Linked DNA regions of Mus musculus. The protein of the gene in region 1 binds, or shares a complex with, the protein of each later gene. Links are inferred from orthologs where the notes say so. Each region holds a gene or a part of one and is shown on either strand. Other genes may lie near its edges.

Region 1 (4,369 bases):
TTCTGCACTGTAGGCCCTCACTACCCCCTCAATAGCCCCATGACATTCTCCTTATTCTTCTGTCTAGCCCCCCGTGGAGAAAGGGAACAGAAACTTTGAACCCCTTCCCAGATGGGGAGGTTCTAAGGCAGGGACTGGCCAGGTGTCCTTCTCTGGGGGCCTCTGAAGGTCACACTGTGGCCAAGCACTCCTATCCTCCTCCCCACATGGAGGCCCAGAACCAAGGCCTTTGTGCCAGGGTCTGGGGAACTCTGGATGGTGGCAGGGACACCTGCCCTTCTCCTTCCTTCTGCCTCCTTTCCAAGAAGGCTCTACAACTGAAGCTTCGTGGAAATAAGCATGAAAGGACCCTTTGGTAGGCAAGTTGGGTGGGCAAGTTCGCAGTTAAACCACCTGCTCTCTGGGCATCGGGCTTTGCCAGGACAAAGTGTGTGAGAGATACTGACTGACAAGGGATCCTGCCAAAGGTATGGGAAAGGGCTGGTTCCAGGCTGCCCCTGTCAGAGCAAATATCAAGTCATGTTTCCAAAGGGGGGGTGGGGGTGGGAAATGGGGTGATGTCAGTCCACCCTTCGTTGATCCACCCCCCCCCCCGCAAAAAAAAAAAAAAACCTGAAGCACAGCTGTGAGGGGAGGAGGGAGCACACCTTCACCAACTCAAAACTTAGGTCAGCGTTTCCACAAAGAACCCGAGGGTGGGCCTCAGCACCCCCACGCCTGACAGTCACCGTCCTTTTCCTGGACCCTGGGTCCAGGAAAGGTCCGATGAGTCTTCGCAAAGAAAAGGAAAATATAAAAGGGTGGGAAGGGCTTCTCTTTTTACACCAGGCAGGAAATGGGGAAAAGGGGGAAGGGGCGTCGGGAAATTCTTCCTAGCGCGAGGCACGGGTAGAAGTTGGGAACGGAGGAAAGAGGTATGGGAGTTTCTCCGGGTCCCGGAGCTGGGGATACCTCCAGAGGTCACCTTCCTCGCGGAGGGCCGGTGGGGGGAGGGGCGCCGCTCGTCGCCCGGGTCTCCGGGCTCCGGCAGCCGCGGCTCCGGGAACACGAGGCCGGCCAGGCCCGGGCTGATGTAATCGGCTCTGCGCCGCGCGCGCCCGGCCAGGCGGGGGAGGGCGGGCACCGCGCGGGACGCGAGCGGGGACGGGAGGGGGTGGCGCGGTGCAGGTGGCCCAACAAGCTAGAGCGGTGGGAGAGGGTCCCCGCAGCAATCCATCCTAAAACTTTCCCCAAACTCACTGCAAGGGCCTCAGAGACCCAAACGGCAGTGACAGCAAAGCCCCCTCGGTCGCCCGCGCCCTGCCCCCTCCACGATCTCTGCCCTCCCCGGGTCCAAGGTCCGAGCACCCCCAGGCATGCCCGCTGGGCTCCGGACTCCCGCCCCCTTTGCCCGGACTTCCAGTTCTCCGGGGACCCGCGACCCGGAGCAAACTTCTGCCGCCAGCCTCGGCACAAGCCCAGCCCCCTCAGCCTCCTCCTCTGGCTCCCGCCCTCCGCTGCTCGGCCCAGATCGTACGTGCGGTGACTCTGGTGGGTGGGCAGGGCCCGCGTGGGCGGCGAGACGATCCTGGCGCCCTCCCACCTAGCGCGCACCCCCTCCCCCTCCACGTACGACGACAGAGGGGGACGCCTCGCGCCCGGTGCCCAAGGACCCGCGTGGGGCACGAAGCCCCCCACGCGCGCGCTCGCACGCACGCACGTCCCCAAGCGGGAGAGGCGCTCGCCACGGCCCGGCGACAGCAGACGGGCACGACCGCTTACCTTGGCATGGTGGAGGTACAGCAGTAAAGCCAGGGTCCAGTGCACCCAAGAGAGCAGAAAGTTCATGGTTTCGGAGGCCCGTCCGGGGCCGGCGCGGCTCGCGCTCCCTCTCCGGCTCGGACTGCGAGGCAGCCCGCTCTCTTGCGCGCCTTGGCGGGCTCCTCTCCCTTCTGGAACCGAGGCCCGGGCCGGGGCCTGGGGCGCGCGCGCGGCTGGAGCACTGTCTGCGCACACGGCCGCCTCACCCGTCCATGAGCTCGGCTCCTGAGAGCCGAGCGCCCACTGCGGCCCCCTCTCCTCTTCCTTCTCTTCCTCCCCTCTCTTCTCGGGCCCCGGCTTCTCCAGGCCCGAGCTAGCACTTCTCCCAGCTCCGATCGGTTTGTCTCCTGCGGCGCAGACCACGGCTACTACGGAGCGAGAAGAGCCCAGAAGTTGGACGAAAAGTTTCCGTGCAATCCCGCGAGCCCCGACCCCCTCCACCCCGCCTCCGGGCGCGGGCTTCGGTTCCTCGCGGCTCGCCGCCGCGTCCACCGTCGGCAGCCCGCCGGCGAGGAGGTGGGCGCTGGGGCTGGGGGCGGTGTCTGTCTGTCTGTCCGTCAGCGCGACTGGTCCGATGCAAGATCCCAAGGGGGAGGGCTCACGCCGCGCTCTGGCGGTCACCCCCAAAAGCAGGTCAGTCACTTTGCCCCTGTCCCTCTCTCTGTTCGCTCGCCAGCGCGCTCTCTCTGACCGGTCTCTCTCTCTCTTCCTTGACTTCTCTCTGGAGCTCTTGATACCTCTTTCGTCTGCTGATTTCCACAATCCGAAGTGATTTGAGGGAGTGAAGAACCAACCTCCTCAAACCGTTGGCACGATTTAAGAGGGGAATAGGAAGCAAAAATAAATTAAAGCGTAAAACAATACAGTTTAAGAAAAAAAAATTAAGAGGTTTGAATATCAAATCCCAGAGCACAGACTCCCGGGCTGGTGAGTCCGCTGAATAGTCTGCCTTGTCGCTGCGTCTCGCGACAGAGCTCCGCTGCCGCCGCTCAGCTCGCCCCCAGTGCCGCGGCCTCGCTGCAGCTCGGCTGCCCCAAGCCTCTGCGCTTCTCACCGGTAACAGCGGTGGAAGAAAAAGAGGAAATCTAGCTCCACCCCCAAGCCCCGCCCAGACCCGCCCCGGGGAGCGGTCTGGTGGAGCCAGGCACCGCCTTTCGGGGAGCCCCTAGGCCACTACCGCGAAATGGAAAGCTAAACCCCTTACCAGGGTCCACGGCCTCAAAATTATCTGTGCACCCCTTCAAACTGGGCTCAGGAACACACTGGGAATCCCAGAGTATTGGGAATCAGGGGAGACAGGAGAGTGAGGTTATATGCGGACAGGGTCTAAGAACAATTCCCTTTCCCAGGAATATAGGAGAAAGTAGGGGTTGGAAGGCGGAGAGCTGGCAGGGACGTATGAGGATAGGGACAACTAGAGTGACCCCTGGCTTTCTCCCCCACCTCACAAACACACTACACACACACACACATGCATGCACGCACTCACATTGACACACGCGTCCTCCCTCACGCAGACTCGGCTCGCCCAAGTTCACGATCTCCCCGTGATGGCCGAGCGCCCCCTAGTGACTACATTATGCACACCCCAACTCTTGCTCAAATGGCACGGGTCTTGGAAAGGGGGTGAGAGTTGATTCTTGAGTGCGGCAGACTTTGAGCTCCCAAATAATTGCGTGTTTCTGACATACACACACACCCAAAAAGTTGCGTGTTTGACCTCGGAAGCATAACTCTAGGTTTATATGTGGGGAGGGGGTTACGGGGGGGGGGGAGTATGCTTATCTGAGCCCTTGTCTGATCTGCAGTCATCAGGAGCTAGGGCCCTGGGGTGAATGGGATCCTCTGGGAAGTTTCCAGAGAGGCTTCTCTGGAGAGAATTTGGCACCAAATTTGTGGCACTGAGAACGGGAAGTGGAGTTCTGGAGTTAGTCAGTGGCGGGGAGTGAGACGACCTGTGGAAACCCACGTATGCACTGTGTAGTCTGGCAGAGCCCTGAAGGAGAGACAGCTGGGCAGACAGAGGCCCTTGTTCCTCCTGATCTCTCTCTCTCACACACACACACACACACACACAGAGATGTTGCCAGGGAACTGAAGCCAGGGTGCCAATGGGGGCAGAAGCGGGCCAGGCCGGCATGGTGATTCAAACCTACCCTAGCATTCAGAAAGGTAGGTAGGCCAGCTGCCCAGCGCTGCCGCCAACCCTCGGAAGGGTGGGAGTAGAGGCTCCCTCAGTTCTAGCCTAGGCTTACGGTTCATCTTCTAAACAGAATTCAGGGGTGTACTCTGTCCTCCCATTCTCCCTAAAACCCTTGGCTATTTCTCTATGCTTGCACACTTAGCCCGTGTGGCTCTGTCCCCTCTCTTTCTACTAAGTCCCCTTCTCCATGTCCTCAGTGTCTTCCTTAAGAGCTCTCCAAAACCCCCACCTCTAACCCACCCTTGGATATAGGAACCAGCCTGGAAAAATTCCTGGTTGGGCTTTGGCCCAGCTGCTCCTAGGCTCCCCTGGGAACAAGAGGGGGCTCCGATACCTGTGGGAAGAGAGGGACCAACCAGTCCCAGC
Region 2 (3,644 bases), on another chromosome or scaffold:
GCTCCTCTTCCTATACTTCCATGATGTAAACTATTCTTCAGGCCAAAGACTTTGGAAGGAATGCTTTGCTCCAGCCCAGGCCCCACAACTTCAGTTTTGTGTTGTTCTGCTGTTTTATGAGCCAGAGCCTCACTCTGTAGCCCACACTGTCCTAGAATTCAGTTCATAGTTCAGGCTTGCCTAGAACTCACGGTGGTCCTCCTGCCTCAGTTTCCTAGAATTACAGTGCTTGGATTTCAGGTATGAGCCACCACACTGGCTCAAACCTCCAAGAGTCATCTTATCATCGAATCGACATCAATGTTTGTCAGCTGGGTATTTTAAAAATTGTGTCCTTTTAACATGTTTCGGGAAAGGATTGTGAATTAGTCAGATTTCTGCAAGACTCTCAGTTTGCCTCCATTGCCAGGATCCCTTTTGACCTGGGGTTTTTGGTTGCCATTCAGGTGCCTTGACCATGGTGGGACCAGAGACAAATATATAATTTTATAAGATGCCTGATTTTTTTCTGCTTGCAAAGGATAAAACAATAATGTCTTCTCACCACCCTCAAAACAAGAAAGGAATGTATCTATTTCTAACCATGTATCAGACATGCACTGGTTTTGTTTGTTTGTTTGTTTGTTATTTGTTTGGCCTTGAGTACTTGATGTTGAAAAATCCCTTCCAGTTACATGCTAGACCCGATGATCCTGAAACAGAATGTTTTAGAGTCTCACGTTCTCCAGGGCCCGTATTAGGCTCTACACGCCCATTGTTCAAACACTTTGTTCCCCCAAGGATGACAAGGATCAAAGATTCTATCATAAATTCCCAGCTCCCAAGGAGGCGCCGAGTCCCCGTGCCTTCTGAAGGGTTGACAATGGAGCCAGCTCTAGGAGGGAACTCTCCAGAGGCTAACTCTCAAGTCAGTTGTGAACAGAGACTTGATTCCCATCCAGCACTGTGTGAGGCTCCCTGTGTGTGCTGTGAAGAAATCTGCATAGCAGCCTTAAACTCTAACCTTTTCAAAATTCTTCTTGGCCCCCTGAAGACCAGCCAGCTGGCCTGGCTTTCCCAAATCACATCATCCCAGGCCACTGAGGAAGCCCTCAGGAGTTTGCTGCCTGCTGGTAAACAAAGCTGAGGAAGCAGGGAGGGGCACCCCTGCTCATCCCACCCAAGCTAGCTGCCCACTGGCAAGGTTGGGACTTCCCTGCTGCTGTTGTGCCACTGAGCGAAAGGCAAAGCCTCTGAGATGTGGCCCCTAGAGCTCCAAATAACCCAGGAAGGTTCTTTCTTGCTCCTGGTCCGCATCCCCTACACAGCCCAAGGTGCAGCAATGACAACGGAAGGAGGTAATCCATGGATATAGCTGTAGATGCTGGGAATTCCCTATGCCGCCTGAACTACAGAAAGTTACGAGCCTACCCCAAATACACATATACCTGTTTGCACGGGACCTTCTCCAAGTCAGATATTTGCACTTTCCAGAAAGTCATCATGCATAGAGACTTGCAGAGGGCCCTGCCTGCTACAGGAGCCTTAGATAAAGATGTGGTCGCTGCCGGCTAAGATCGGCATATTGACAACCCACAGTTATATTTCAGTGTGATCTCCAGAGGGTACTTCCTGCCGGTAAACACCTGGTTTATTGAGTATTTCTGTGTTGTTTGTTGTTTTTAGTTGTTGTTGTTGTTTTCGTCATGCTTAGAGTGTCTATTATCCCTTTCCTAAATTCTGCTTCCTTTACTTATTTTAAAATCCAAACGTAGTGAATAAAAACTACTGTAATTGCCAGCATTTGCACCCACATCATTAACTCGTACTCACTCTTGCTCTTTGTATATGCTGGGTCTCTGTTCCTGGCTCTGCCCAGAGCCAACAGTTGCTGGGTTTAAAGCACAAGGGCTCCTCTACTATGACTCCACCTCTGGGGTTGTGGTGGCTGTAATCCTCTCTGTTCCTGCTGCTGCTGCCCAAGCCTGTAGCAGGCTGCGATTGTGTGAGTGTGTGGCATGTTTCATCAGGATGCATCCCAAGAAAGCTAACCCAAGAGCTTAGGAGGGAAACAAGGCCATCCCCACCACAAAGGCACCAGAAGCCTTCCAAATGTCAATACACTGCTGCATTTTTCCAGACTCGCCACCAGAGCGGCCTTTAACATCCCCAACGCCCTGCTGTGATCTACCGGCTGAAAACCTCGATTGTTAATTGTCCCACCACTACAGAGCAGCCCGTTTAATCCAGTCAGGACATGAGGGAGGCTCCAGCTCCCCTTTGCCCCTCCCCTGAGGCACCTTGGAACTTGGAGGGAGAAGGGGCACTTAGCTGGCTAGGGTACAATAGAGGCTAGTGTTGAGGTCAGCAATAAATAAGGGATAACATTGTTTTCTCTGCTGGCAACCAGCAAGCCTTCCTTAAGGATTGAAATAACTTACATTCTGGAGTGAGCAGCTGAGTAATTGAGAAAGAAGACTCTGTCCCTCTTTCAAGATCTCTCTCTCTCTCTCTGTCTCTCTCTCTCTCTGTCTCTCTCTCTCTCTCTCTCTCTCTCTCACACACACACACACACACACACACACCCCTCTTTACCTCTTACCCTCCAATCCCTCGACTGTTGCTCTTATTCTAATATTCAAAGCAATCGGCTGCACTGTCCTAATTTCTGTCCAAAAGGGAGGCTGGCTTGAGGACTTGAAACACAGAGGGCAAGGATGTGTTGTTCCAAGTGCTACTTGAACAGAAATAAAAACCTTGTTTAGACAAGGGGACATAGACACAAACATTTAAATAACCCAAAGGCAGAGGAGAGAGCAGAGAAAGGCTACTCTCTAATAACTTCTCTCTCTCCTTCTCTCCCTCTCTCTCTCTCTCTCTGTCTCTGTCTCTGTCTCTCTCTCTCTCTCAGGCTCTGAAGATTGTTCCAAGAACTTTACAAGCCCCAATGGGACCATTGAATCTCCAGGGTTTCCAGAGAAGTATCCACACAATCTGGACTGTACCTTCACCATCCTGGCCAAACCCAGGATGGAGATCATCCTACAGTTCCTGACCTTTGACCTGGAGCATGACCCTCTACAAGTGGGGGAAGGAGACTGTAAATATGACTGGCTGGACATCTGGGATGGCATTCCACATGGTGAGTGAACGCTTATGCTCAGCTCCCTTTCTCCTTCTTATGAAGGTCAGGACTCTAACCTAGGGAATAGTAGCACCCAAAGTGGGCACATCTTCCCACTTCGATTAACCCAGTCAAGGTAATCCCCCAGAGATATACCCAGAGGACTGTCTCTAAGATGATTCTAAATTTCATCAAGTGAAAACTGAGATTAACCATTAGAGATTGCAAAACTATAAGTGTTGTTCCTTTCTACATAAGTTATTAAAATAGAAGTGAATCAATTATCATATGATGTGGCCGTATAGAAGGATTTAAAGCCAAAGTGACTGGACTTGAATCTCTCTGACGTACAACCCAGCCAAGGTATTGAACCTCTCAGTATGTTGTCTGGGAAATACCTATCATCACTATTATCACGAGTACTATTATTTTATTACTATTTAATATAGTCATGGATATTGAAAAGCAAGCATTTATAGCCAAGAGGGGCCTATATAAATCAGGTGAAGGACTAACACAGATTGTGTAGTCGGTATTGGAA
Region 3 (3,644 bases), on another chromosome or scaffold:
TATATCAGAGTTTAAACAAGTGTACTTGGCTCTGGCCTACTTCCAAGAACAGAGTTTTGGAAACAACAGAGGCATCCTTATAGAAGCATACCCACTGACTGTGATAGGAAACTTCCTGGTCATGGCTAAGCCCAGAGCTCCCTTCTAAACTTGCCCTCATCTGGATCAGCTACTGTTAACCTGATATAACGGGTCCTATGTGTGGTGTGATCTCTAGGGTCTTGGGAACAACTTCACTCAGAAACATCTGTCCTTCTGTCCCCAAGTTTCTTTTTAATAACAATCATATGTTAGCATCTATTTTCAAACACCCCCTCAGATAAGCCAAAGCACTTAAAAATGATATTCATGTAAAATGTTGATGTAGATTAGTTAGCCTGGGCAGTTCACCTTTCTCACACTATAAACCAGAGAAGATGCACATCACGAGAACCTCAGAGAGCACAACAAAGAAAGGAGAAAATGGCAGGAAAAAAGCACAGAGATGCCTCCTAAACTCACCAGATATCCTCAGAGCAGAGATTGCCTAGGTTTTGTGCAAAGTACAAGGTTAGACAAGACAGGCTAGCATCCCCACAGGAAATGTGAAAGTTTTTTTTTTCTAATCCCAAACTTATCTCACTGAACTTCACCTACTGCAGACCACATAGGCTACCAGAGGAGTACAGGCAATGAGTGTGGCACCCCTTCCGTGGAATCTTCTAGATCTTAAATTCAGACCCTCATCACACTTTTCATGAAGCAGGTATCCCATTGACCACCTTGTATGTGCCAGTGTGTTCTCTGACTAAAATTACGGCAGTAAGCAAGCAAAGATCAATTTTTATCCCCAGGAGTTGGAGACACCACAATGGCACGACCACCCGGTATTTGCCTATAGTCTCACCCTCTCCTTCTGGGTCATCACTTTGAGCTTCTGACCCTCTCTTTGCTAATAGTATTACACACATGTGCTAACTGTAATCATCTGAATGTCCAGGGATGCCACAGGAAGTTCTCTGGATTTAAGCTAATCCCTTGCACATACTAGTAGTGACATCATCTTAAAGGCTAGAAAGAGTCAAGCTGTCTTCTAATTTTAATGTCTTACCTCACCACTGTTAGCTTTGCTCTGCTTCCAGGAGTGTGCCAGCCTACTACAACACTCAAACACACTGCATTTAAGGCATTGCAATTCTGTCACCCAGGGATGCCTCCATACCTAGGATGATGAGCTGTTTGACCAGGCAATGTCTTTTCTTGGTCTTCTTATCTTGAGCAGAGCAAACATAGTCGCCTTGGTCCTGCAGAGAGGCATTCTGAAATGCCACAATCAAGATGTCATTTGTGCTGTTAGAAAACATGGTGCCATTCAGTTTCCAAAGAGCATCCAAGTTCTTGCAAACTGGTGTGAGTGATTCGCCCATGTGGACCGATGTTGCCTGTGAGCCAAGCTTGTACCACGTGAGGTTCTCAAACGTATTTCTGTCTGCAGTGCACAACAGGGACACACTCTCCTGCTCAGTTGGCTGGGCAGCAGGTTGCACAGTAATTTCAGGACCCCCTGAAATGTAAAGCCATAGTTAGTGGATAGTTAACTTAAGTTGGTGCATGACACAATTGTCTTCTTGCTGCTATGATGAACTAAGAAACAGCTCTCGCAGTCCCAAGTCATTACTACAAAGACAGACCCAAATCAGACAATTCATTTTGCAAAATGTATTATTTGGAAATGTGAAATTAATTTTCCCCAAGTATTCACTGCATTTGACTTTGAGTTCTAGATATGGTTTCCAAGATGAAAAAAAAAAAACAAAAAACAACAACAACAAAACAAACAAAAAGATTAAAGCAGGGCATTTAATCACCACATGGAATCTTTAATGATGCCTTCTTATTAATACATGATATGAAAACTACATTTATTACAAGTAATTACCTCAGACTAAAATATCTGAGCCAGTACAATCAGCTTAAATTTACCCATAAAACTAGGCTGCAGCGACAAACTCTGGAGTGTAGAAAAGCAGAGGCCAGTGACTTCACATCATTTCCATACTCTAGAAGCCCCGGCCCTGGTGCTGTTCTATCACAAACCCACAGATAACTTCACAAACCCCAGCAAGTCATGAATCACACTGACTCTGGCAAGCAAGACAAGCCACACCTGTACTGGCTGGTTTGGGGTGTCAACTTAACACAGGCTGGAGTTATCACAGAGAAAGGAGCTTCAGTTGGGGAAGTGCCTCCATGCGATCCAGCTGTGGGGCATTTTCTCAATGAGTGATCAAGGGGGGAGGGCCCCTTGTGGGTGGGACCATCCCTGGACTGGCAGTTTTTGGGTTCTATAAGAAAGCAAGCTGAGCAAGCCAGGGGAAGCAAGCCAGGAAAGAAACATCCCTCCATGGCCTCTGCATCAGCTCCTGCTTTCTGCCCTGCTAGAGTTCCAGTCTTGACTTCCTTTGGTGATGAAAAGCAGTGTGGAAGTGTAAGCTGAATAAACCCTTTCCTCCCCAACTTGCTTCTTGGTCATGATGTTTGTGCAGGAATAGAAACCCTGACTAAGACAACACCCAACATGGGACTTGAGGCTTAAAGCACAAGTGGAAACCTTCTCTGACCAGTGATAGGATAGCACATGAACTCTCACACGAGCCCGGGGCCTGCATGAGCAGATTTAATGCATTACCGTCAAGTCCTAGCTACACACCACACCACTTGCACAAATTTCAAAGACAACCGAGGACCTCACAACTTATTAGCACCCACTTTCTGAGGGTGCCCCGCCCCACCCTCTAAAGAGTTCTCTACTCACTGATCACATGGAAGGAGATGACCCTCTCTCCTCGTCCCGCTTTGTTGATGGCTTCACATTTGTACAACGCTGACACGTTGGCAGCTTGGATGACCAGCGTACTTACAGTCTGTGAACGTACAAGACCCAAGCCATGAACAATGCAGGCTGAACATGTGTGCGCGCAAACACACACACACACACACACACACACACACACACACACACTGAGACTGACCGTTCATCAGCACCCACAGCTGCTAAGAACTGCCTTTGCCATTCATGGTACACCCTGCCCATTGGCAAAGGTAAACAGCTCTAACCAGGCAGTTAGACAGGGGGTGCAAAAGTGCTTTGGAAATCCTCAAGGATTCACTTTAATGAATGAACATAACTGACACTTTTCCTTTTTCATGTGCAGAGTCAGAATTACTTTACAACAAGTGTATACACTACATGGTATTATGTGCTTCATTTCTCTTCCATGAACTGCTAGTAAGCTATGGGTACTGTGGGGGTTCCCCTTCTCCTTTTACATTAGTAGATATTAATTGTGCAAAATAGCAGGTTTTATTAGGACATTTTTATACATGTATATAATATATTAGATTATATCCACTCCCAATGATTCTGTCTTCCCCCACTCCACTCCAAATGATCCCTCTCCTCTTCCCAAATAGTCTTCTCTACCTCCGATGTCTTTTATTTTATCTTGACTCGTATGTAGGAAAATCATATGTGCATTGCTAAGTCGAACTTATTTTGCTTCATGTGATGATCTCATCTTTCTGCAAATGGCATAAGTTTGTTCCTCTTTAAGATTGAAGGGGTATGTGTGTGTGTGTGTGTGTGTGTGTGTGTGTGTAACTCA

Evidence for each region.
Region 2: the proteins of Vegfa (region 1) and Nrp2 are in contact, whole or in part, in a crystal structure (PDB 5DN2), measured with the Homo sapiens proteins. The link is inferred for Mus musculus from reciprocal best matches to the Homo sapiens genes VEGFA and NRP2. Residues at the interface, in NP_003367.4 of Homo sapiens: Lys392, Pro393, Arg394, Arg395; in NP_957718.1 of Homo sapiens: Tyr299, Ser300, Asp301, Trp304, Thr319, Asp323, Ser349, Glu351, Thr352, Asn354, Tyr356, Gly417, Ile418.
Region 3: the proteins of Vegfa (region 1) and Kdr are in contact, whole or in part, in a crystal structure (PDB 3V2A), measured with the Homo sapiens proteins. The link is inferred for Mus musculus from reciprocal best matches to the Homo sapiens genes VEGFA and KDR. Residues at the interface, in NP_003367.4 of Homo sapiens: Pro246, Asp247, Ile249, Glu250, Ile252, Lys254, Met287, Ile289, Pro291, His292, Gln295, Ile297; in NP_002244.1 of Homo sapiens: His133, Val135, Tyr137, Ile215, Val216, Val217, Val218, Val219, Gly220, Tyr221, Asn253, Gly255, Ile256, Asp257, Phe258, Val273, Asn274, Arg275, Asp276, Phe288, Ser311, Gly312, Leu313.

Annotation. Positions count from the first base shown.
Region 1 is NC_000083.6:46,029,530-46,033,898, forward strand, and holds the start of Vegfa (vascular endothelial growth factor A), read right to left. Parts: upstream 2,849-4,369; 5' UTR 2,362-2,848; coding exon 1,762-2,361; intron 1-1,761.
Region 2 is NC_000067.6:62,741,285-62,744,928, forward strand, and holds part of Nrp2 (neuropilin-2 isoform 2 precursor), read left to right. Parts: intron 1-2,890; coding exon 2,891-3,121; intron 3,122-3,644.
Region 3 is NC_000071.6:75,957,916-75,961,559, forward strand, and holds part of Kdr (vascular endothelial growth factor receptor 2 isoform 1 precursor), read right to left. Parts: intron 2,904-3,644; coding exon 2,795-2,903; intron 1,544-2,794; coding exon 1,202-1,543; coding exon of another isoform or gene 1,161-1,201; exon of another isoform or gene 1-1,160. UniProt on the Homo sapiens protein: Tyrosine-protein kinase that acts as a cell-surface receptor for VEGFA, VEGFC and VEGFD. Plays an essential role in the regulation of angiogenesis, vascular development, vascular permeability, and embryonic hematopoiesis.